Linked DNA regions of Anolis sagrei. The protein of the gene in region 1 purifies or fractionates together with the protein of each later gene. This does not show direct contact. Links are inferred from orthologs where the notes say so. Each region holds a gene or a part of one and is shown in the gene's direction. Other genes may lie near its edges.

What was found. The genes of interacting proteins can lie anywhere in the genome.
Region 2: the proteins of PHLPP1 (region 1) and SUGT1 purify together in Homo sapiens (affinity purification with mass spectrometry; 5 studies listed by BioGRID and IntAct, with this or other methods). This does not show direct contact. The link is inferred for Anolis sagrei from reciprocal best matches to the Homo sapiens genes PHLPP1 and SUGT1.
Region 3: the proteins of PHLPP1 (region 1) and USP12 purify together in Homo sapiens (affinity purification with mass spectrometry; 4 studies listed by BioGRID and IntAct, with this or other methods). This does not show direct contact. The link is inferred for Anolis sagrei from reciprocal best matches to the Homo sapiens genes PHLPP1 and USP12.

What each region holds. Positions count from the first base shown.
Region 1 is NC_090024.1:89,984,039-89,991,914, reverse strand, and holds the start of PHLPP1 (PH domain leucine-rich repeat-containing protein phosphatase 1), read left to right. Parts: upstream 1-4,856; 5' UTR 4,857-5,049; coding exon 5,050-6,232; intron 6,233-7,876. UniProt on the Homo sapiens protein: Protein phosphatase involved in regulation of Akt and PKC signaling.
Region 2 is NC_090023.1:141,080,239-141,087,570, reverse strand, and holds the start of SUGT1 (protein SGT1 homolog), read left to right. Parts: upstream 1-4,316; 5' UTR 4,317-4,323; coding exon 4,324-4,559; intron 4,560-4,634; coding exon 4,635-4,680; intron 4,681-7,332. UniProt on the Homo sapiens protein: May play a role in ubiquitination and subsequent proteasomal degradation of target proteins.
Region 3 is NC_090023.1:30,892,556-30,899,741, reverse strand, and holds the start of USP12 (ubiquitin carboxyl-terminal hydrolase 12), read left to right. Parts: upstream 1-4,170; 5' UTR 4,171-4,290; coding exon 4,291-4,338; intron 4,339-7,186. UniProt on the Homo sapiens protein: Deubiquitinating enzyme that plays various roles in the regulation of the immune response and inflammation.

The sequences.
Region 1 (7,876 bases):
AATATAATATAATATAATATAATATAATATAATATAATATAATAATATAATAATGCTATTATTATTATTATTATTTTACTGACACAAAAGCACAGTTTGTCACAGCAAACGAGATCTATATACTGGATTTCATATCAAAAAATCACAAGTTGAACACTTCCCAAGCGTCTAGGACTGTGCGATGTATTTTCGAATGATGCACACAGATCTATGATGCCCTGCCATTGTTTTTAATTGCGTCATTGTGTGTTGTTAATGTTATTGCTCTGTTTTTTGAGTTATTTTGTTGCTGTTGTTTTTACTGTTGTTGTTATTGTTTTTACTGTTGTATTTGGGCTCGGCCTCATGTAAGCCACACCGAGTTCTTCGGGAGATGGTAGCGGGGTACAAATAAAGGTTTATTATTATTATTATTAGGAATATTTTAAACAGAGGCTGTATGGCCATCTGTTAGGGGTGCTTTGATTGTGCTTTTCCTGCATACCAGAGGGTTGGACTAGATGGCCGATGTGGTTTCTCCCAACTCTATGATTCTGTAATAATTATTTTATTTTATTATAAGGGTTTTCTTTTACTTTTGATTATAATACATGTACTTGTGTATCCTGACCAGTGCTTTCGGGCTTCGGGGCACAGAGGGAGGAAAAGCTAACAAGCTGTTTTCCAGAAATTATATTAGGGTGTACAATTTTTTTGCTAGTCATCGTAAGTTGAATCAAATTCATTAAATTCATTTCTACGAGGTGATATCCGACACTTGGGCATGGCTTGCGCTAAAAATTTAAGAATCTAAACTTACCCAATGCTTTTACATTTGAATTTTGCAAACCTCAGAAGCCTTCCGAAGTCAGTTTCATTTTCAGTGCAAGGAAGCAACGCAAAGCCAAAAAGGCTGCCTTTCCTCTTTACATTAATGGTCTCCCCGCCATTGGGAGAGGGAAGCAGCAGGGAGAAAGCAGAGTTTGCTGGGAAAGAGACTGAGAAAGCACAGAACTCTGGAAAATGTAGTTTGGGATGGAGCCTTATGCCAGAGAATTCAAAAGGCCCTGCCCTAAACTACATTTCCCAGAATTCTGCTCAGCACCAGAAAGCCCCAATCAGGAGAGGGGAGAGATTTGTCCCTCCACAGCAGCAGCCAGCCAGTTTGAATGTATGGTTGAATTTGCAAAGAGGACTGACTGATACTTCTAGAAAGTAAATCTCTGTGCTGGGCTGGGAAGAAATCCCTAAATGAAAGTTCTATTGGTTCATATGAGAGACATTCAATGAGATAGCTGTTGGGACTTAAAAAATATTATTTTTTGTCAAAAATTAAAAAAATTCCCTAAAATCAGATGTATGAATATTTCCGAAAGTTGGGGGGAATGATCCCTGTTACCTTCTGTCATTGTGTAGAAAATTCAAGATCACTTTTGTAATTTTTTTTGTAATTGTTTAGACAAACTTTGAAAGTTCCCCAAAATCAGTGGATGAGTGAAACGTTCTGAAACTTGATGGGCCAAGAGTCGTATACCCCGCCCCGAGTCCCCTTTGGGGAGATGGTGGCAGAGTATAAATAAAATTATTATTATTATTATTATTATTATTATTATTATTATTATTATTATGTGTTCTGCTATTGTTGCATGTTTCACCCTGATCGCTGTAAAAACAAGGGAGAAAGTTTCCCCACTTGTGCAATTACTATAACGAAAAAGTAACGGAATTGCATTACAGTAACGGACCCGCGTTACAGTAATGAAATTTTCACATGATCACGCACCCCTACTAAGGCCACCTCTCTTCAGATCCACTGGGGAGGTTTGATTCTTACGGCCTGGCATGCATTTCCGTGTAAGAGTACAGTCAGTATCCTCAATTGCATGCCTTGTAGATTCAGCGACGTGAGCGAATTCAGCCCCGTCCCTATTGCGGCCTATTGGGCGCCTTTCCCTGCAAGAGTCGAGGAAGCGTCAGGGCGCGCGGGAAGAAGCCCTGGGCGGCGGGGGCGGGGCCTCTCCGGACAAGAGTCAAGGGCACGCGCGGCACCGTCAGGGGGCGTGGCGCTCTGAAAAAAGGGGCGGGGAAACCGAGCCGCCACGAAAAAGAGCGCTTTCTCTCACAGGAAGCAAAGCCTGACGGGAAATGCAGTTCGCGTTTGCCTCTGCCCTCATTCCAAAGCCAAGCCAGGGCACTACATTTCCCAGCATGCCTTTTTGTTCCGCTTTGGTCACGTTTTGTTTATCCCTCAGCCCATTTCACGAGGAGATGGCGTCACCGCGCCTTATGAATATGGGGATTTTTTAAAAAAGACAATGTCAATATGCCATAAGGGGGGGGAGGAGGCTTGGTGGGTGGGGCCTTGGAAGGGAAGGCGAAGAAGCGGCGGCGTTCTAAAGAGGAGCAAACAATCTCATGAATATTCATAAGTAGGGAGGGGGAAAGAGGAGAGGTTTGGCTTGGTGGGCGGGACCTTGGAAGGGATGGCGAAGAGGCGACGGCGTCGTTCTGAAGAGGAGGAGGAGCAAGCCAATCCTGTTTATGAATATTCATAAGGCGGGAGGGGAAGAGGAGGCTTGGAAGGGAAGGCGAAGAGGCGGTGGTGTTCTAAAGAGGAGGAGGAGGAGCAAGCATATCCTGATCATGAATATTCATAAGGGGGAGGGGAAAGGGAAGAGGAGAAACGGCTTGTTGAGCGAGGCCTTGGAAGAGAAGGCGGAGGCGTTCTAAAGAGGAGGAGCAAGCAAATCCTGTGTTATGAATATTCATAAGACGGGAGGGGGGAAGAGTAGAGCCTTGGCTTGGTGGGTGGGGCTTTGGAAGGGAAGGCGAAGAGGAGGCAGAGTAGATCTGAAGAGGAGGAGGAGCAAGCAAATCCTGTTCATAAGGAGGAAGAGTGTGGAGGCTTGGTGGGTGGGGCCTTGGAAGGGAAGGCGAAGCGGCGTTCTAAAGCGGAGGAGGAGCAAGCCAATCCTGTTTTATGAATATTCATAAGGCGGGAGGAGGGGGGAAGAGAGGAGAGTAGAGGCTTGGTGGGTGGGGCCTTGAAAGGGAAAGCGAAGAGGCGGTGGCGTTTTGAGGAGGAGGAGGAGCAAGCAAATCCTGTTTATTATTATTATTATTATTATTATTAACTTTATTTGTACCCCGCTAGCATCTCCCGAAGGACTCGATGCGGCTTACAAAGCCCAAGGCCTCAAAACATAACATAACAATACACAACCTAAAGCAAATCAAAAACAGTTAAAGCAATATAAACAACAAGCAATAAAACAATACACCAAGACACAATAAAACTGGGCCGGGCCAGAGTAAAGGGTACAGATTAAAAGTGCTGATGTGACAGGTGATATGTAAGGATTATAGGGTAAGTGCAGTGTGCTAGCAATCTTAATTTCTACTACAGTGCTTCTGGGACTTGTCGTTGGAGTTTTCCTATTCTGGAAAGGCACATCGGAACAGTCAGGTCTTCAAGTTCTTCCTAAAGACTGCCAACGTAGGGGCCTGTCTAAGATCTTTGGGGAGGGTGTTCCAGAGTCGGGGGGCCACCACAGAAAAGGCCCTGTCTTGCATCCCCACCTGACGCGCCTGCGACGCAGGCGGAATCGCGAGCAAGGCCTTTCCGGATGAACGAAGTGAGCACGTGGGTTCATAAACGGAGATGTGGTCACGCAGGTAGGATGGTCCCAAACCGTTTAGGGCTTTGTAGGTAAGCACCTGCACCTTAAAATGCGCTCGGAAAATAAACAGCAGCCAATGGAGCTCCTTGAACAGGAGGGTTGACCTCTGTCTGTAGGGAGCACCAGTTAACATCCTGGCCGCTGCCCGTTGGACCAGTTGAAATTTCCGAGCCGTTTTCAAGGGCAGCCCCATGTAGAGCGCATTACAGTAGTCCAATCTAGAGGTGACTAAGGCATGGACCACATTGGCCAGATCAGCCTTTGCGAGGTACGGTCGCAGTTGACGCACAAGTCTCAATTGTGCAAAAGCCCTCCCGGACACCGCCGACGCCTGAGCCAGGCTTCAGCCCCCCCCCCCCGAAATTCTCATGATGGTCCACAAAAAGGCCTTACTGGTGCATTATTTAAACTGTTATGTTTATTCATATCATGATCTGATCACTATACTCAATATATCCCACATGCATGGGGGTATTGGGGTAATGATACAAAAGATTTGCTAGGGTAGACCCTCTTTCACTCAGACTCAGCCCCCCCCCCCAAACAAACGCCCCCCCCCCAATGGAAATCCTGGCTACGGGCCTGGCCTGAGCCTCAAGCGTAAGCGATGAATCCAAGAGGACTCCCAAACTGCGGACCTGTGGCTTCAGGGGGAGTGCATATTCATAAGGTGGGTGGGGGGGAGAGTAGAGGCTTGGTGTGTGGAGACTTGGAAGGGAAGGCGAAGAGGAGGCGGTGGCGTTCTCAAGCGGAGGAGGAGCAAGCAAATCCTGTTTATGAATATTCATAAGGCAGAAGGAGGGGGGAAGAGAGGAGAGTTGAGGTTTGGTGGGTGGGGCCTTGGAAGCGAAGCGAAGAGGCGATGACGTTCTGAAGCTGAGGAGCAAGCTCCTCCTATTTATGAATATTCATAAGGAGGGAGGAGGAAGAGAGGAGAGTAGAGGCTTGGTGGGTGGGGCCTTGGAAGCGAAGCGAAGAGGCGATGACGTTCTGAAGCGGAGGAGGAGCAAGCAAATCCTGTTTTTATGAATATTCATAAGGCAAGGCGAGAGGAGGGGGGAAGAGAGGAGAGTAGAGGCTTGGTGGGTGGGGCCTTGAAAAGGAAAGGCGAAGAGGGTTTTATGAATATTCATAAGGCGGGAGGAGGGAGGGGGAAGAGAGGAGAGGCTTGGCTTAGTGGGTGGGGCCTTGGAAGGGAAGGCGAAGCGGAGGAGGAGGCGGAGGCGCGCGCTTGCCTGCCTCTCCCGCCCAGTCCAGTCAGCGGCTAATGGCGCGCGCGGCGAGGCTGAGCCGGATGGAACGCGGAGGAGACAGCGGCGGAATGTTCGCCATGGCGACCTAATCCCTCCCCTTCGCCTCCTTTCTTCGGAACGTTCGCTAACCCATCCTAATGGAACCTGCGCAGCAGCAGCAGCAACAACCAGAAGGAGACGGGAGCGCCATGGGCCTTGAAGGAGCCCAACAGAGGCGACGCAAGCGCGGGGGAGCGGCCGCCGTTGCCGCCGCCAAGGGGACGCCGGGGACGACTCCTTCTTCTGCCTCCTCGGCTTCCCTGGCTTCGTCCAACGGGGCCAACTCGCTCCTGGTGAGGCGAGGCCGCCTCAAGAGGAACCTCTCCTCCGCCGCCTCGCCCTCGCTGCTTCCTCCTCCTCCGGCTGCTCCTCCGGCCTCGCGCAGCCTGGACCGGAAGGCGCTTCTCCTTCTCCCGAAGCCCCCGCGGCAGGTCCAGCCTCTGCAGGCGCCGGAGCGGGACTGGGTGCGGCGGGACCTCCGCCGGGGCTGCGTCCATGTCTACTACTCCAACCACCACCATCACCACCACCACCACCACTGCTACCTGCTGCCGGTGCTGTGCACCTTGGAGACCACCGCGGGGCAAGTGGCAGCCAGGCTGCAGCAGCAGCAGCAGAGGAGGGCAGGAGGAGGGGCTCTCCGCGTCTTGGGCCAAGAAGAGGGCCAAGGAGAAGCCGAGGAGGCCCATCTCGAAGGAGAAGACGAAGAGGAGGAGGAGGGGAAGGCCTCCATCTACCTGTCGGGCCCGCCGATCTCCTGCCCGTCCCTCGCCGGCGGCTCCGACTCGGAGGGCTTCAGCCCTAGCGCCGAGGGAGAAGAAGGAGGAGGAGGAGAAGAAGAAGGCTTTTCCTCCTCCTCTTCTTCCTCTTCCTCCTCCTCGGCGTCTTCCTTGGAGGACTTGGAGGCCGAGGAGCCCAGGAGGAGGAGGAGGAGGCGGAAGAAGAAGGAGGCCATGGAGGAGGAAGGAGAGGAAGAAGAAGATGAAGAAGGCGCCCCCTCTGCTGCTCCTGCTACTACGACGACGACGACTACTAAGGCCGCGGCTTCCTCGCCTTCAGCAGCAACGCCTCCTCTTCTTCCTCCTCCTCCGTCCCCGCCGCCGCCCCCCCTGGGCCTCTACGTCCAGCTCCACGGGGAGACCGCGAGGCGCCTTTCCCCCGCCGAGAAGCCCCTGCGCCTCCAAAGCGACTACCTCGCGCAGCTGGGCTTCCGCGACCCCTGGCGCGCGCAGGAGGAGGGCATGGACTCCGAGACCGGCTGCCTCATCCGCTTCTACGCAGGTAGCTCGCCGGCTAAGTGGGTGGGTAGGTGGGTGAGTGGGTGGGGGATCTGGCTGGCCCTCTGCCGGGAGGGATTGGGTAGTGCCTGCTCGCCTCCCTTTGAATCTCCCTGCCTTCGTGCTGTGTGTGGCTTCTCAGGCCCCTTCTGCACTGCCATATACAGTCCAGGTGATCTGCTTTGAACTGGATTCTATGGCACTGTAGATGTGCATTATCTGCTTTGGTAATCTGGGTTCTATGGCAGTCTAGATGTCCATTATCTTTGGTAGACTGGGTTCTATGTCAGTCCAGATGTGCATTATCTTTGGTAATCTGGGTTCTGTGTCAGTCTAGATGTGGATTATCTGCTTTGGTAATCTGGGTTCTATGTCAGTCTAGATGTGCATTATCATTGTTGGTAGTCTGGGTTCTATGTCAGTCTAGATGCACATTATCTTTGGTAGACTGGGTTCTATGCCAGTCTAGAAGTGGATTATCTTAGGTAGACTGGGTTCTGTGTCATTCTAGATGTGGACTATCTGCTTTGGTAGTCTGGGTTCTATGTCAGTCTAGATGTGGGTTATCTTCTTTGGTAATCTGGGTTCTATGTCAGTCTAGATGTGCATTATCTACATTGATAGTCTGGGTTCTGTGTCAGTCTAGATGTGGATTATCTGCTTAGGTAATCTGGGTTCTATGGCAGTCTAGATGTGCATTATCTTTGGTAGACTGGGTTCTGTGTCAGTCTAGATGTGGATTATCTGTTTTGGTAATCTGGGTTCTGTGTCAGTCTAGATGGGCATTATCTTTGGTAGACTGGGTTCTATGTCAGTCTAGATGTGGATTATCTGCTTTGGTAATCTGGGTTCTATGTCAGTCTAGATGTGCATTATCTTCATTGGTAGTCTGGGTTCTCTGTCAGTCTAGATGTGGTAATCTGGGTTCTCTGTCAGTCTAGATGTGCATTATCTTCGTTGGCAGTCTGGGTTCTATGTCAGTCTAGATGTGGACTATCTGCTTTGGTAATCTGGGTTCTATGTCAGTCTTGATGTGGATTATCTTCTTTGGTAATCTAGATTCTATGGCAGTCTTGATGTGGACTTTATGGCAGTGTAGACTATCTGGATTATATGGAAGTATTGAATAGTATTAGTAATGATGATAATAATATTTTTATTATGTGTCAGTAAAATAATAATAATGTATTGCCGAAGGCTTTCATGGCCGGAATCACTGAGTTTTCCTGGCTGTATGGCCTATTATATCAGACATAAAGGTAAAGGTTTTCCCCTGACATTAAGTCCAGTCGTGTCCAACTCTGGGGGGTGGTGCTCATTTCCATTTCTAAACCGAAGAGCCGGCCCTATCCATAGACACTTCCAAGGTCATGCGGCTGGCATGACTGCATGGAGCACCAGTACCTTTCCGCAGAAGTGGTATCGATCTCCTCACATTTGCATGTTTTTGAACTGCTAGGTTGGCAGAAGCTGGTGCGAACAGCGGGGAGCACCCCCTGCTCCCCGGATTTGAACCGCCAACCTTTTTGTCAGCAATTTCAGCAGCTCAGCGGTTTAACCTACTGCGCCACCGGGAGCTCCCATGGCAGTGTAGATGTGGATTATCTGCTTTGAAAAATCTGGATTATATGGCAGTGCAGAATAATAA
Region 2 (7,332 bases), on another chromosome or scaffold:
CTCTTAGGCAGCTATATTTGCTGGGGCTGAAGTCAGCAACTAGCTATTTTTTTCATGTCTGCATTCTTCAACCATGTGCACTAAGTGAAAATGATGCTGCTGGGATTTGCTTTAATATGCTTCTAGCTTTTACACAAATTATTTGTGGCAAGTGGCCCAGAAGTAAAATAAAAATGATCAGGGCTACGCATGTTTTCTCAGGTTGGCACCCTTTGATTATTTGTGGAACATTCCTCTCAATGAATTGTGAAGCTGAGTATAATTTTGCTTACAAGTTAAACTGTGCATGTAATATTTTTTTAACACAAATTGAATTAAAATGTTAGTTGCTCATTAGAAGAGAAACAGGATTCTTTTTGCAGACTGGATATGGTGAATTTCCTTCTGCTTATCATGGCTTTGGCAAGATGCCTGTGCAACAATAATTTGATAAGAAAAATCCCATTTCAATGGCGATGTGTCAGTTTGTACAGTGTGATGCATTTATAAATCTCACTACTTGGTCTAATAACAGTATACCATTGTCTGAATTGATTCATTTCCACAGGGAAGAAAGAAAATCATAAGACAATCAATTTTAATATGAACGTCTTATAAGCTGTAGCAATAATAATGAACATGTTCAACTGCATGTAAAGCCCTACCCTTTACAATGAATTATGTGCTGTTTTTGGTGTGTGTAACTGGTTGCTATCATTTGAGCATTCACACTTTTGTGAGTCTAAGCTGAATATTTGAATTTCTCTATTGGTAAGTTCTGAGTTTGGGTTGATAAACAGGTATGAAAAGTTTTGATAAGTTGTCTGTGATGGGCATAAACATCTGGGGAAGGAATCATGTGGCCCTGCAGGTGCTGTTCTGCTGCAATTCCCATAATTCCTCACCCATGTCTATACTGGCTAGGTCTGGGAGTTGTATTCCCAACAGCATCTGTATGGCCATTCTTATATATGTGTATAAGGAGCCGTAGTGGCGCAATGGATTAAATCTTTGTGCCGGCTGAACTGCTGACCTGAAGGTCAGTGGTTTGAATCAGTGAGATGGGGTGAGCTCCTGTCTGTCAGCCCCAGCTTCTCATGTGGGGACATGAGAGAAGCCTCCCACAGGATGGTAACATATCCGGGTGTCCCGTGGGCAACATCTCTGTAGGCAGCCGATTCTCTCACACCAGAAGTGACTTGCAATATATTCTCAATTTACTTCTGAAATGATAAAAAACATGTATACAGATGCATACACAGAGTTTCAATAAAACTGTAAATGAGAGAATATTTCCTCCCATAATTAATATTGTTCATGACCACATAAATAAATGTTCATGACCACATAAATAAATTTAATCAAAACAATTTACATCACTGAAAAGCTTGATGTTTGTATAGGAAAAGTACTGAGATCTGGTTCTCACAAAGTAAGCAAGCTGTAGCTGATCTGTATTCTTCTATGCTATCGATGCCCCTCATGACTGAATGTCCTTGCATGCAGTATGAAGGAAATTGCCTGCATGTAGAAAACAAAAACAAAAAAACAAGCACTATGGATAGAAAACTAGATTAGAACCCTTTTCTCTTGCACTTAATTCTTGATATAGATTTTTAAAAAATGAAAGTCTATTGACCTTTAATCTGAATTTTATCAGCCAAAACCAAGATTCACAACTACAGTTGAGAATCCAGGATTGGCAGCACAGCTAGACACAATCTCTGCTTTTAGTTGTTCTGCGTAAAGCTTTAGAAGCATTTTAAAAATAATAATTATGTCTTACTCTCGGGCCCCCTGGTGACGCAGCGAGTTAAACCGCTGAGCTGCTGAACTTGCTGACGGAAAAGTTGGCGATTCAAATCCGGGGAATGGGGTGAGCTTCTGCTATCAGCCCCAGCTTCTGCCAAACTAGTAGTTCGAAAACATGCAAATGTGAGTAGATCAATAGGTACCGCTTCTGCAGGAAAGTAATGGCACTCCATGCAGTCATGCTGGCCACATGACCTTGGAGATGTCTGCAGACAATGCCCGCTCTTTGGCTTAGAAATGGAGATGAGCTCCACTCCCCAGAGTCAGACATGACTAGACATGTCAGGGGAAATCTTTATCTTGTCTTACTGTGTTTTAAAGGTAACATGTGGCAAAAACTTGTTTTAATGATGAAAACAACTAGTGTAGGAGATGGATGATGAGGATGTTAGTTTGTATTCCTACCCATTACTACTTTAACGTGTGCCGTTTTTCAGGGGAAACACTTAGAATTGATAAGAGAATGGGGTAACGCTGGAAAGATTCCTGAGAAATGCCTAAAATAGCCCTTTACAAGTAACACTTGAAATTAAGTAGAAATTGTTACTCATTCAACCGGAAAGGGAACTTGATTCTTATATAGGGACTACTTGGTTCATGTAAGTTAGATTACTTGCGAAATGTGTCTTGTTTACACCCATTACCTACAAGGAAACTAGTTACAGACAACAGCATAACTGTAATTCTTCTCTTTCACACTGGCCCTGTGGATCCTTCCCGCTATCACATGTATGAACGAACTTCAGCACCTGCCTTTTATCAGATTGCGTGTGAGCAAGTTTTACAGAAGAGAGGAAGTGGTCTTGAGGAATGTGACATCTTGCTTTCTATACTTACAGAAAATGGAGAAACAGAGCACACCTCTTTATTTTGTTGACATTTGTAGCACAACTCAAGAGACCTGGACTCTCCTCACCGAAGACCTTTGTTCTGTCTTCAGTGTATGTGATAGCCGCCAATGGAGAAAATACAGCATAATTGTAACTGGACAACATAATCGTTGTCCTGTCCCTAATTTAGGATTTCCCTAAATCAGTGCCAAGATAGAGCAACAAGTTTTCTTTGCTGCTCCTTTAACATTTTGAAACGAACTGAAAATGGAAATAGTTACTTCTATCACACACAACAATTGAAATAGCAATAATAAATCATGATAATAAACTTTATTTATTCCCTGCCACCATCTCTCCAATGGGGACTCGGGGCAGCTTACATGAGGCCAAGCCCACCAATGCAATAAAATAAATGAAATCAAAAACATAAACAAGAACACAATGATTAACATAAAACATAACTATATAAAATTACAATAAAATCATTCATAAAACAATGAGTGGGCCGCATGTCCTGAATAAAATATTAAGGATAAAAAACAGGAGGTGAGACAGCAGTGGAGTGGATTATTTTTATGAGGGAGGAACTCTTCCAAGATGGGGTCGAAAAGGACCTTCATATGCACTAAAAATGGATATTGAGGGTTAATGGGCATATGAGTTAATGGTTAATCTCCAAAATCACAGTGGAAGAGCCAGGTTTTGAGATTTTTCTTAAAACTCTCTAAGGTGGGGGCTCACCTAATCTCACCATAAACCCACTGTTAAGATCTCCACAGGCTGGAGGCAACATTTAGGGCCTAATTCATACTATGCAGTGCAAGTTCTATATTCCACCTTAATTGTCATGGTAACATCCTATGGAATCATGGGCTTTGAAGTCTGGAGCATTCTGGTGAGAATTGAAAATGCCCTCCTGTACACTACAAATCCCATAAATCCATAGGAGGGAAACATGGTTGTTCAAATAAAATCACAGTGCTATTAACTGTGTAGTGTCAACAACTTTTGAACATTTCTTCAGCTATTCTGTATTGCCTTCCTTTGATGGATTATTAATGGTTTCACGATTACGATGTGTCGTTCATAGAAATTTAAGGGGATTTCAGAAGATACACCCCTCTGTTTGTACTTTTTCCTCATTACTTCACTCCTGTTTCATCTTTATTTTCCTGCACTGGAAAATCCACTATAGAGTCAGAAAAAGAAAGCAACAGTTCTACCTTCTGATCCTTAGAGCATTCCACCTGGAAATACTCCCAGATGATCTTAATGTCTTAGTTGGTTCATAGGAGGAGATGCGTTTGGAGAGGTAAGTAGTGCCAGAACCGTTTAGGGCTTTATAGGCTAACGCCAGCACTTTGAATTGTGCCCGGTTGCAAACTGGCAGCCAGTGGAGCTGGTGCAAGAGAGTAGTATGCTCCCTGAGTGCCGCTCCTGTTAGCAACCTGTTAGCAACCTGTTAGCAGAGAGCTCTGTGCCCCACCCCAGCCATTCCACAGATATATAAACCCATTGTCCTAATTCCAACAGACCTCACTGCCTCTGAGGATGCTTGCCATAGATGCAGGCGAAACGTCAGGAGAAATGCCTCTAGAACATGGCCCTATAGCCCGAAGAAACCCACAAGAACCTAGTGATTCCAGCCATGAAAGCCTTCGACAATACAGTACATTGAACTTCCCTCTTGTTTTGGAAGATGATTGACGCCGGGAGGCGGGCCCTCTGCCGTGGAGGCTCCGCCCCCCATCGAATGTTGACTCCTCCGCCGCCCTCCGCGAGAGGACTCTTGCTGACGTATAAAGGCCGCGCCGGCACCGCCTTTTCCAACGTCACAGGGCGCGCGCGACAGCGGAAAGAAACAAAATCTTCGCGCTCTAGAAGTTTCCTCGGCGGGGCCATGATGGCGGAGGCGGCAGGAATGGGAGTCTCGTGGTGAGCCCTCAACCCCCCACCCCTTCACCCCGCTCCTCCTCCGCGTTCGGGCCTAACTCTCGCTTTTCTCCGCAGGCTGACGGAGTGCGACGTCGAGAAAGACCCCGCGGGCGCCGTGCAGGTAGGAAGGGGAGCTTCCATTCTTGCCACACGGGTCTCCCTGCTTTTTGGTTTGTTTTCCCTCTCAGCTGGCCAAAACTATATCTCTCCCGAAACAGAATCATGTAGTACAGTGGCGACTTCCCGCTTCCCTCACGGCCTGACATTTCCTGAACAAAAGCTCAGTTCACCAGATGTGGGATAGCTGTTCCTATATTGGAGGGCCCTTCCACACAGCCCCATATCCCAGAATGTCAAGGCAGAAAACCCCACATTATCTCCTTTGAACTGGAATATATGGCAGTGTGGATTCTGTTAACCCAGTTCAAAGCAGATATTGTGGGATTTTTTGCCTTGATATTTTGGGATATAGGACTCTGTGGAAGGGTCCATAGTGTGTAGAATCATAAAGTTGGAAGAGACCCCAAGGGCCATCCAGACCAAACCCCCTGCCATACAGGAAAAGTACAAACCATCCATGATAGATGAATATTGTATATACATATAATATTTATAATATTATAATGTAATACAGTATAATACTAATAATAATATATTATAATTATATATTTTCTATTGCATGTAATATTACAAATAATATTACAATATAATGGTATAGTACAATGTAATAATAATAATAATAATAATACACTTTATTCATAACCCGCCACCATCTCTCCAAAGGGTACTCGGGGCGGCTAACATGAGGCCAAGCCCAAAATAATACAGCATAATAAACACACAATAACAAAATACATCAATATATTATTATTATTATTATTACCTTTATTTGTACCCCGCTAGCATCTCCCGAAGGACCCGATGCGGCTTACAAAGGCCAAGGCCTCAAACACAACATAACAATACACAACCTAAAGCAATTTAAAAAATTAAAGCAGTTAAAGCAAAATTAAACAACAAGCAATAAACAATACACCAAGTGCTGATGTGACAGGTGATATGTAAGGATTATAGGGTAAGTGTAATATAGTAATATATAACACTGATATTGTACTATGGTAATAATATAATGTATGTATATAGTAAGCCACTCTGAGTCCCCTTCAGGGTGAGAAGGGCGGCATATAAATGTCGTAAATAAATAAATAGATGGCCACCCAGCCTGTGCTTCAAAGCCTCCAAGGAAGGAGACTACTGTCTTGGAGGCGGCAGCATATTCCATAGTCAAAACAATTCCCACTATCCGCATTTTTATTCCCCTCCACACAGCTGTATAAAATCCCACACCAGCATTGAACTGAAATATATGACAGTGTGGACTCAGGGCCCATCTACACAGCCATGTAATGCAGAATATCAAGGCAGGAAATCCCAAAATACCTGCTTTGGGCTGGAATATATGGCAGTGTGGACTTAGATAACCCAATTCAAAGCAGCTATTGTGGGATTTTCTGCCTTGATATTCTGGGTTATATGGCTGTGTAGAAGGGTCCCCAATGTTTCCTTGGAATTTTCTTTCTGATTATTTGAATCCATTGCTTTCAGGTATTCTGTCACCCATGCTATTTAATATCTACATGAAATCACTGGGAGAGATCATCCAGAGTTTTGGAGTTAATGCAGATGATACCCAACTTCATTACCCCTTTCCACCAAAATAATATTTTTATATCCTGCCCCCTTGTGCCGAAGAGACTTAAGGCGACTTACAGTAAGAACAAACAAATACAGTCAATGATATAACATAGGCAATAATCACATATCATCACATATCACTTATTAAAAACAAAATAGCATAATAATGTAAACATAAATAAATAACCAGTTTACAAGACTATTTAGTCCTTTAAAAACAACATTTATATATAGATATTGTTTAAAACCAGCCAAGAATCCTGTTCTCATCCTGAACTGGTACCTATATACTGTAATAGACTGGATGAGGGTGAATAGATTAGAATTAAATCCTGACAAGACAGAGGTGCTTTTGGTCAGTTGCAAGGCAGCTCAGGGTATAGGGATACAGCCTGTGCTGGATGGGGTTACACTCCCCCTTGAGGCAAGGTACACAGCGTGGGGGTGCCCCAGGTGTCATCAGTGGCCAGGAGCACCTTTGCACAATTAAAACTTGTGTGCCAGCTGCGCACGTACCTTGAGACGCCAGATTTGGCCATGGTAGTGTATTCCCTAGCTACATCTTGACTGAACTACTGCAACGCGCTTTATGTGGGGCTGCCTTTGAAGAGTGCTCAGAAGCTTCAGCTGCTGCAAAGGTCGGCTGCTAGGTTACTAACCGGAGCACTGTACAGGGAGCAAACAACTTGCTTGCTGCAGCAGCTCCACTGGCTCCCAGTTTGCTACTGGGTGAAATTTAAAATACTGGTTGTTACTTTTAAAGCCCTAAATTATTTGGGTCCAGAGTGTTTGGCCAACCACCTCTCTTTATACAAACCTGTCCAGACACTGCGATCAGGGGAGGCGCTCCTGCCTCAAATCCGGCTGTTGGGTACAAGAGAGAGGGCTTTCTCTGCATTTGCCCCCTACTTCTGGAATTCCCTTCTGAAGGAAATCAAAATGGCCCTCTCGTTGCCCCCTTCAAAAAGCAGTTAAAATGTTTCTGTGCACCCAAGCATATGGCGAAGCAGGTGGTTAAGTTAAGGTTTTAAGAAAGTTCTTTAACATTGTAGAGCAGAGGTTCCCAAACTGTGTTTCA
Region 3 (7,186 bases), on another chromosome or scaffold:
TAGTAGAGGCAAAGATGAAGTACTTTGGCCACATCATGAGAAGACAGGAAAGCTTAGAGAAGACAATTATGCTGGGGAAAATGGAAGGAAAAAGAAAGAGGGGCCGACCAAGGGCAAGATGGATGGATGGTATCCTTGAAGTGACTGGATTGACCTTGAAGGAGCTGGGGGTGGTGACGGCCGACAGAGAGCTCTGGCGTGGGCTGGTCCATGAGGTCACGAAGAGTCGGAAACGACTGAATGAACAACAACAAATCACTACTATTTTATTATTTAAAACATTTATATTCTGCCCTTCTCACCCAAAAGGGGACTCAGGGCGGAGCACAGCATATACATGGCAAACATTCAATGCCGGGACACAAATTCACATACAATACATAAACATTAAAAAACATTTATCAAAATATTAAAATACTCCATTTAAAACAGTCCTAGTCATCCGCATCAAATCTAATTGGCCTGGTCATATTTCCTATTGCCACTTTATTGCCCTGTCCCAAAAGCTTGGTCCCACAGCCAAGTTTTTACCATCTTTCTAAAGGACAGGATGGAGGGGGCCGACCTGATCTCACCAGGAAGGGAGTTCCATAGCCGGGGAGCAATCACCAAGAAGGCCCTGTCTCTTGTCCCCACCAATCATGCCTGTGACAATGGCGGGACGAAAAGCAGGGATTCCCCGGAGGATCTTAATCTCCACGATGGTTCATAGGGGGAGATGCGTTCGGACAGGTAAATTGGGCTGGGGCCGTTTAGGGCTTTATAGGCCAAAGTCAGCACTTTGAAATGTGCTCTGTAGCAAACTGGCAGCCAGTGGAGCTGGCATAACATGGGAGTTGTATGCTCCCTGTATGTCGCCCCAGTTATTAACCTGGCTGCCTCTCGTTGGACTATTTGAAGCTTCCGAGTAGTCTTCAAAGGCAACCCCACATAGAGTGCATTGCAATAGTTTATCCTAGACGTAACAAGAGCATGGACCACTGTGGCCAGTTTGACTTCCCAAAGTATGGGCGCAGCTGGCGCACAAGTTTTAATTGTACTATACTATACTATACTGTACTATACTGTGTGTGTGTGTGTGTGTGTATGCATATATATATATATATTACTATAATATTTATTTATTTATTTACATAATTTCTACCCCGCCCTTCTCACCCCCAAGGGGGGACTCAGGGCGGCTAACACAGGTAACAATTCAATGTCAACAATATCAATAACAACAATATAAACCAACAATATAAAATCCTATTATGTAACAATTAAACAGTGATATTAATTAAAATCACATAATCACATAGAACAAATCACATAATCACAGGTCATATAGCCGTTTCCAATTTTCATAACAATCCTATTGTCCAACTTCAGTGCCTAAAGTGCTGCTGTGCCCACTAGCCAAAGGCCTGGCTCCAACACCACGTCTTTAGTTTTTTCCCCTAAAATTAAGGCGGGAGGACGGCGATCTAATCTGGGAGAGCTGGGGAGCGAAATTCCACAAGCGGGGGGTCACTACCGAGAAGACCCTGTCCCTCGTCCCCACCGGACGCGTTTGAGACGCTGGTGGGACCGAGAACAGGGCCTCCCCAGTAGATCTTAAAGTATGAGGTGGAACGTAGAGAGAGATACATCCGGATAAGTAAGCTGGGCTGGAACAGTATAGGGTTTTATAGGCCAAGACCAGCACTTTGAATTGTGCTCGGAGGTAGATCGGCAGCCAGTGGAGCTGATGCAGCAGGGGGTGGTATGCTCCCTGTATATATAATTATAATATCATATTAGTAGTAGTATTATATTGCATCACATTATAATATTATAAATATTATATGTATATACATTATGTGTACAGAGGAGGGTGACTAAAATGATTAAGGGTCTGGAGAACAAGCCGTATGAGGCACGGCTTAAGGAGCTGGGCATGTTTAGCCTGAAGAAAAGAAGGCTGAGAGGAGATATGATAGCCATGTATAAATATGTGAGAGGAAGCCACAGGGAGGAGGGAGCAAGCTTGTTTTCTGCTTCCTTGGAGACTAGAACGCGGAACAATGGCTTCAAACTACAAGATAGGAGATTCCATCTGAACATGAGGAAGAACTTCCTGACCGTGAGAGCCATTCGGCAGTGGAACTCTCTGCCCCGGAGTGTGGTGGAGGCTCCTTCTTTGGAAGCTTTTAAACAGAGGCTGAATGGCCATCTGTCAGGGGTGATTTGAATGCAATATTCCTGCTTCTTGGCAGGGGGTTGGACTGGATGTGTAACATGCACAGATATCTATAAAAACAATTACAAAAACTCTAGATTGCAAATCACAATTTCAATGTTCCCAGAATTTCTACATTGAATGTAACATGAGAACATTCACACAATTATCTGTATGTTGCTGTGTTTCTTATTTAGTGAATTAAAACATCATAACACCTGATGAAGATATTGCGAAACAAGGGAAACAACCCGGGAGACCTTGTTGTGTGTCACTGTCACTGATGTTTATGGAAGAAGATCTTTCGACAACATAGAAAGTGTTATTTTGTGCCACTGTGCCTGACATTGTTTAACTGTTATTTTGGAAGCTCTAGTTTCACTGTATTGACAAAGTATTGATAAACCGTGTGTCACATCAGAGTTGTTTATGGAAGAAGAACTTTCGACAACATAGAAAGTCAGTTCTTGTGGGTTTTTTCGGGCTATATGGCCATGTTCTAGAGGCATTTCTCCTGACGTTTCGCCTGCATCTATGGCAAGCATCCTCAGAGGTGAGGTGCTTGCCATAGATGCAGGCGAAACGTCAGAAGAAATGCCTCTAGAACATGGCCATATAGCCCGAAAAAACCCACAAGAACTGAGTGATTCCAGCCATGAAAGCCTTCGACAACATAGAAAGTGTTATTTTGTGTCACTGTGCCTGACATTGTTTAATTGTTATTTTGGAAGCTCTAGTTTCACTGTGTTGACAAAGTATTGAAAATTATCTTCTATTTATAAACAGTCTTTAATTAATTGTGTGAATGTTCTCATGTTACATTCAATGTAAAAATTCTGGGAACATAGAAATTGTGATTTGCAATCTATAGTTTTTGTAATGGGTGGACTGGATGGCCCAGGAGGTCTCTTGCAACTCTTTTCAGTGGTTCTCAACCTGGGGTCCCCAGATGTTTTGGCCTTCAACTCCCAGAAATAGTAACAGCTGGTAAACTGGCTGGGATTTCTGCGAGTTGTAGGCCAAAACACTTGGGGACCCACAGGTTGAGAACCACTGCATGATTATATTATATTATATTACATTATACCACTGAGCCTTGGCAAGATAAGTGGTGCATTAATTCTACAGCAGGCATGGGCAAACTTCCGCCCTCCAAGTGTTCGGCTGTTGGGAATTGTAGTTCAAAACACTTGGAAGGGCGAAGTTTGCCCATGCTTGTTGTACAGCAGGGGTCCTCAAACTAAGGCCCGGGGGCCGGATATGGCCCTCCAAGGTCTTTTACCCGGCCCTCGCTCAGGGTCAACTTAAGTCTGAAATGACTTGAAAGCACACAACAACAACAACAATCCTATTCATCAGCCAAAAGCAGGCCCACACTTCCTATTGAAATACTAATAAGTTTATATTTGTTAAAATTGTTCTTCAATTTTAATTACTGTATTGTTTTTAAGTGGTTTTGCACCACAAATAAGATATGTGCAGTGTGCATAGGAATTAATTTTTTTTTTCAAATTATAATCCGGCCCTCCAACAGTTTGAGGGACTATGACCTGGCCCTCTGTTTAAAAAGTTTGGGGACCCCTGTTGTACAGGGTGAAATCCAGCTTCAAAGACATTCTTTCTCGTTAGATCCCGGCGCTAGGACCCAGGGGAACACTGCGTACAGCCGACCCAGGCTGCTTGTAACGGTGTGGTTGTGGGCGGAAGTAGGTCCGGCTGGCGTGTGGAGGAAGGGGGAGGTTGGACTTAGTGCGCGTGTGCGGAGGCTCGCGAGCACTGAGGCGAGTACGGGAGCCTAGAGGAGGATGGCTTTGGAGTGAGGGGAGGAGGAGGAGGCTGCTGCGCGTGCGGGGCGCGCAGTTTGGGCGGTTGGAGGCAGGGCGGAGTCCTGGTCGGCCTCTCTCTCTCTCTCTCTCTCTCTCTCTCTCTCTCTCTCTCTCCCCAGCTGCTGGGAGGAGGCGAAGGCGGAGGCGGCGCCGCCTTCCTTCCCTTCCTTACTTCCTTCCCTTCCTTGCCTTCTTCCTCCGGCGGGACTCTGCCCCTCCGGCTCCCCTCGACGTTGTGATTGGGCAGAAGATGGCGCCGCGCGGATGGAAATCCTAATGACAGTCTCCAAAATCGCCTCCATCTGTACCATGGTGAGCCTGGCCCGAGGGGGTCTTCGGGGGGAGCCTCCCTTCTTCCCCTCCCTTCGCCTCAGGAAGGCTGCTGTTGCTGAGGGGAGGCCCAGGAGGAGAGGGAGAAGGGCGGGCCAAAGCGGTGCCCAAACTGGACGCGAAAGTGGTGTCAAACTGCATTAAATCTACAGTGCAGATGCAGTTTGACACCACTTTCACTGCTTTGGGATCCGGGAAGTTGTCGTTTGGTGAGGCAGAAAAGGTTAAACAAATGATAATATTAATAATATGATAAAATAATAATAATATGACCTCTCTGCCTCTGAGGAGGCTTGCCATAGATGGAGGCAAAACGTCAGGAGAGAATGCCTCTAGAACATGGCCATATAGCCCAAAAAAACCTACAACAACCCAGTGATTCCGGCCATGAAAGCCTTCGACAATACAAATAATAATACTTATTTATTTACTAGCCGTCCCCTGCCATGCGTTGCTGTGGCCCAGTCTGTGTATATGTGTTTTGTGTATATATGTGTTTATACGTGTGTATATATTTGTGTATCTGTGTATATATGTGTTTTTGCATGTGTATATGTGTGTGTGAGTGTGGGTATGTATATGTATGTGCATATGTGTAGATGTGTATATATGTGTGTATATATATATGTGTGTGCTTGTCTATATGCATATTTGTGTGTGTGTGTACGTGTTGCTGTGGCCCAGTCTGTGCATATGTGTTTTGTGTATGTGTTTATACGTGTGTATCTGTGTATATATGTGTTTTTGCATGTGTATATGTGTGTGTCTATGTGGGTGTGTGTATATATGTGGGTGTAGATGTGTATATATGTGTGTATATAGTTGTGTGCTTATATGTGTATGTATATTGTGTATATGTGTGTGCTTGTCTATTTGCATATTTGTGTGTATATATGTATGTGTGAATGTATGTGTGCATATGTGTGTGTGTGTGTGTAGATGTGTATATATGTGTGTATATATTTGTGTGCTTATATGTGTATGTATATTGTATATATGTGTGTGCTTATCTATATGCATATTTGTATATATATACATATGTGTGTGTGCATGTGTATATGTATATATGTGTGCGTATTTGTGTCTGCTTGGGTATAAATAATAATAATAAGAAGAAGAAGAATAAATTTTATTTCTACCCCGCCACCATCTCCCCGATGGGGATGCGGAGCGGCTTACATGGGGCCAAGCCCGGACAATGTAATACAGCAATAAAATCAAAACATATACAACTGACAACAACATTATCAAAATGACATTAAAAATAATAAAATAATAAAATAAAAATTCCAATAGACACAATCACGATAGAGATGACAATGGGTGGGCCACATATTCCAAATAAAAAACAATTAACAGACTATGATGAGATAAAATAGGAGCAGGACGTTTAAATATACGTGTGTGTGTATGTATATATGTGTATGTAGATGTGTGTGTGTGCGCATTTGTGTCTGCTTGGGTATAAATATGCGTAGGTGTATGTATGTGCACATGTGTATATGTATATGAGTGTATAATAATAATAAACCTTTATTTGTACCCCGCTACCATCTCCCGAAGGACTTGGTGCGGCTTACACGAGGCCAAGCCCAAAATACAAAAATAAAACAACAATAATACAGCAAAATAAAACAAAAACAAGCAATAACATTAACAACACGCAATGATGCAGTTAAAAACAATGGCCGGGAACCATTGTATGTACATATATGTGTGTGTGATGTATTTGGGGGGGGGGGGGGTTAAGCCCATTCAGCTGGGTTTTTTTGTGTGTTTTTAGGGGTGATGAAGACTTGTTAGACAGTTAGGTGTATTGTGTCAAAATTTCATGTCAATTCGTCAAGTGGTTTCTGAGTTATGCTAATCCCACAAACGAACATTACATTTTTATTTACTTACTTACTGTATTTTCACCCCGCTCTATCTCAACCCTGAAGGGGACTCAGAGCGGCTCCCAAATTTGCAATATTTTAATGCCACAATAACATAAAAACATACAAGTTATATATATTGAGCATGAAAATCATGAAAATCATAAAATGCTAACACAATTGTGCTAGCAAGCACAATTCAAAGTACTGGCTTTAGCCTATAAAGTCCCTAAATGGTTCCAGCCTAGATTACCTAACCAAACGTATATCTCCCTATGAACCATCTAGGAGTTTAAGATCATCTGGGGAGGCCCTGCTCTCAGTCCCACCTTCTTCACAGGTGTGACTGGCAGGGACAAGAGACAGGGCCTTTTCATTAGTGGCCCCTCAGCTGTGGAATTCCCTCCCTAGGAATATTAGATTAGCCCCTTCCCTCCTGACCTTCCACAGAAAAGTGAAAACATGGCTTTTTGAATAAGCCTTTGGGAATCTAGTGCAATAGATAAACGTGGAACTATGTGAAATCGAATACTGGAACGGCTTAGATAACGTTTTTGGACGACGAGGCTAATAATGAAGGTAGTGGTTTTATATGTTTTTAAAGGTTTTAACGTATGTATTTTATAATTCTGTTTTAAATGTTTATTGTAATTTTTACATTGTTTTAATGGCATTGAATAGCTGCCTTTGTTATAAAGCTGCCTTGAGCCACCATCAGGTTCGAGAAAGGCGGGGAAGAAATATCGTAAATAAATAAACAAACAAACATATAAATACATTAAATATAGTAAGCTGTTAAAACAGTACATATAGACCCGGAATCATAATCCAGAAGCCATTCCAATCACATTGCATTCACTTCATAGCTGCATATAGCCCTGTACTACTCTCCAAATGCTTGATTCCATAGCTAAGTTTTAACTTGCTTTCTAAAGGACAGGACGAAGGGGGTCAAT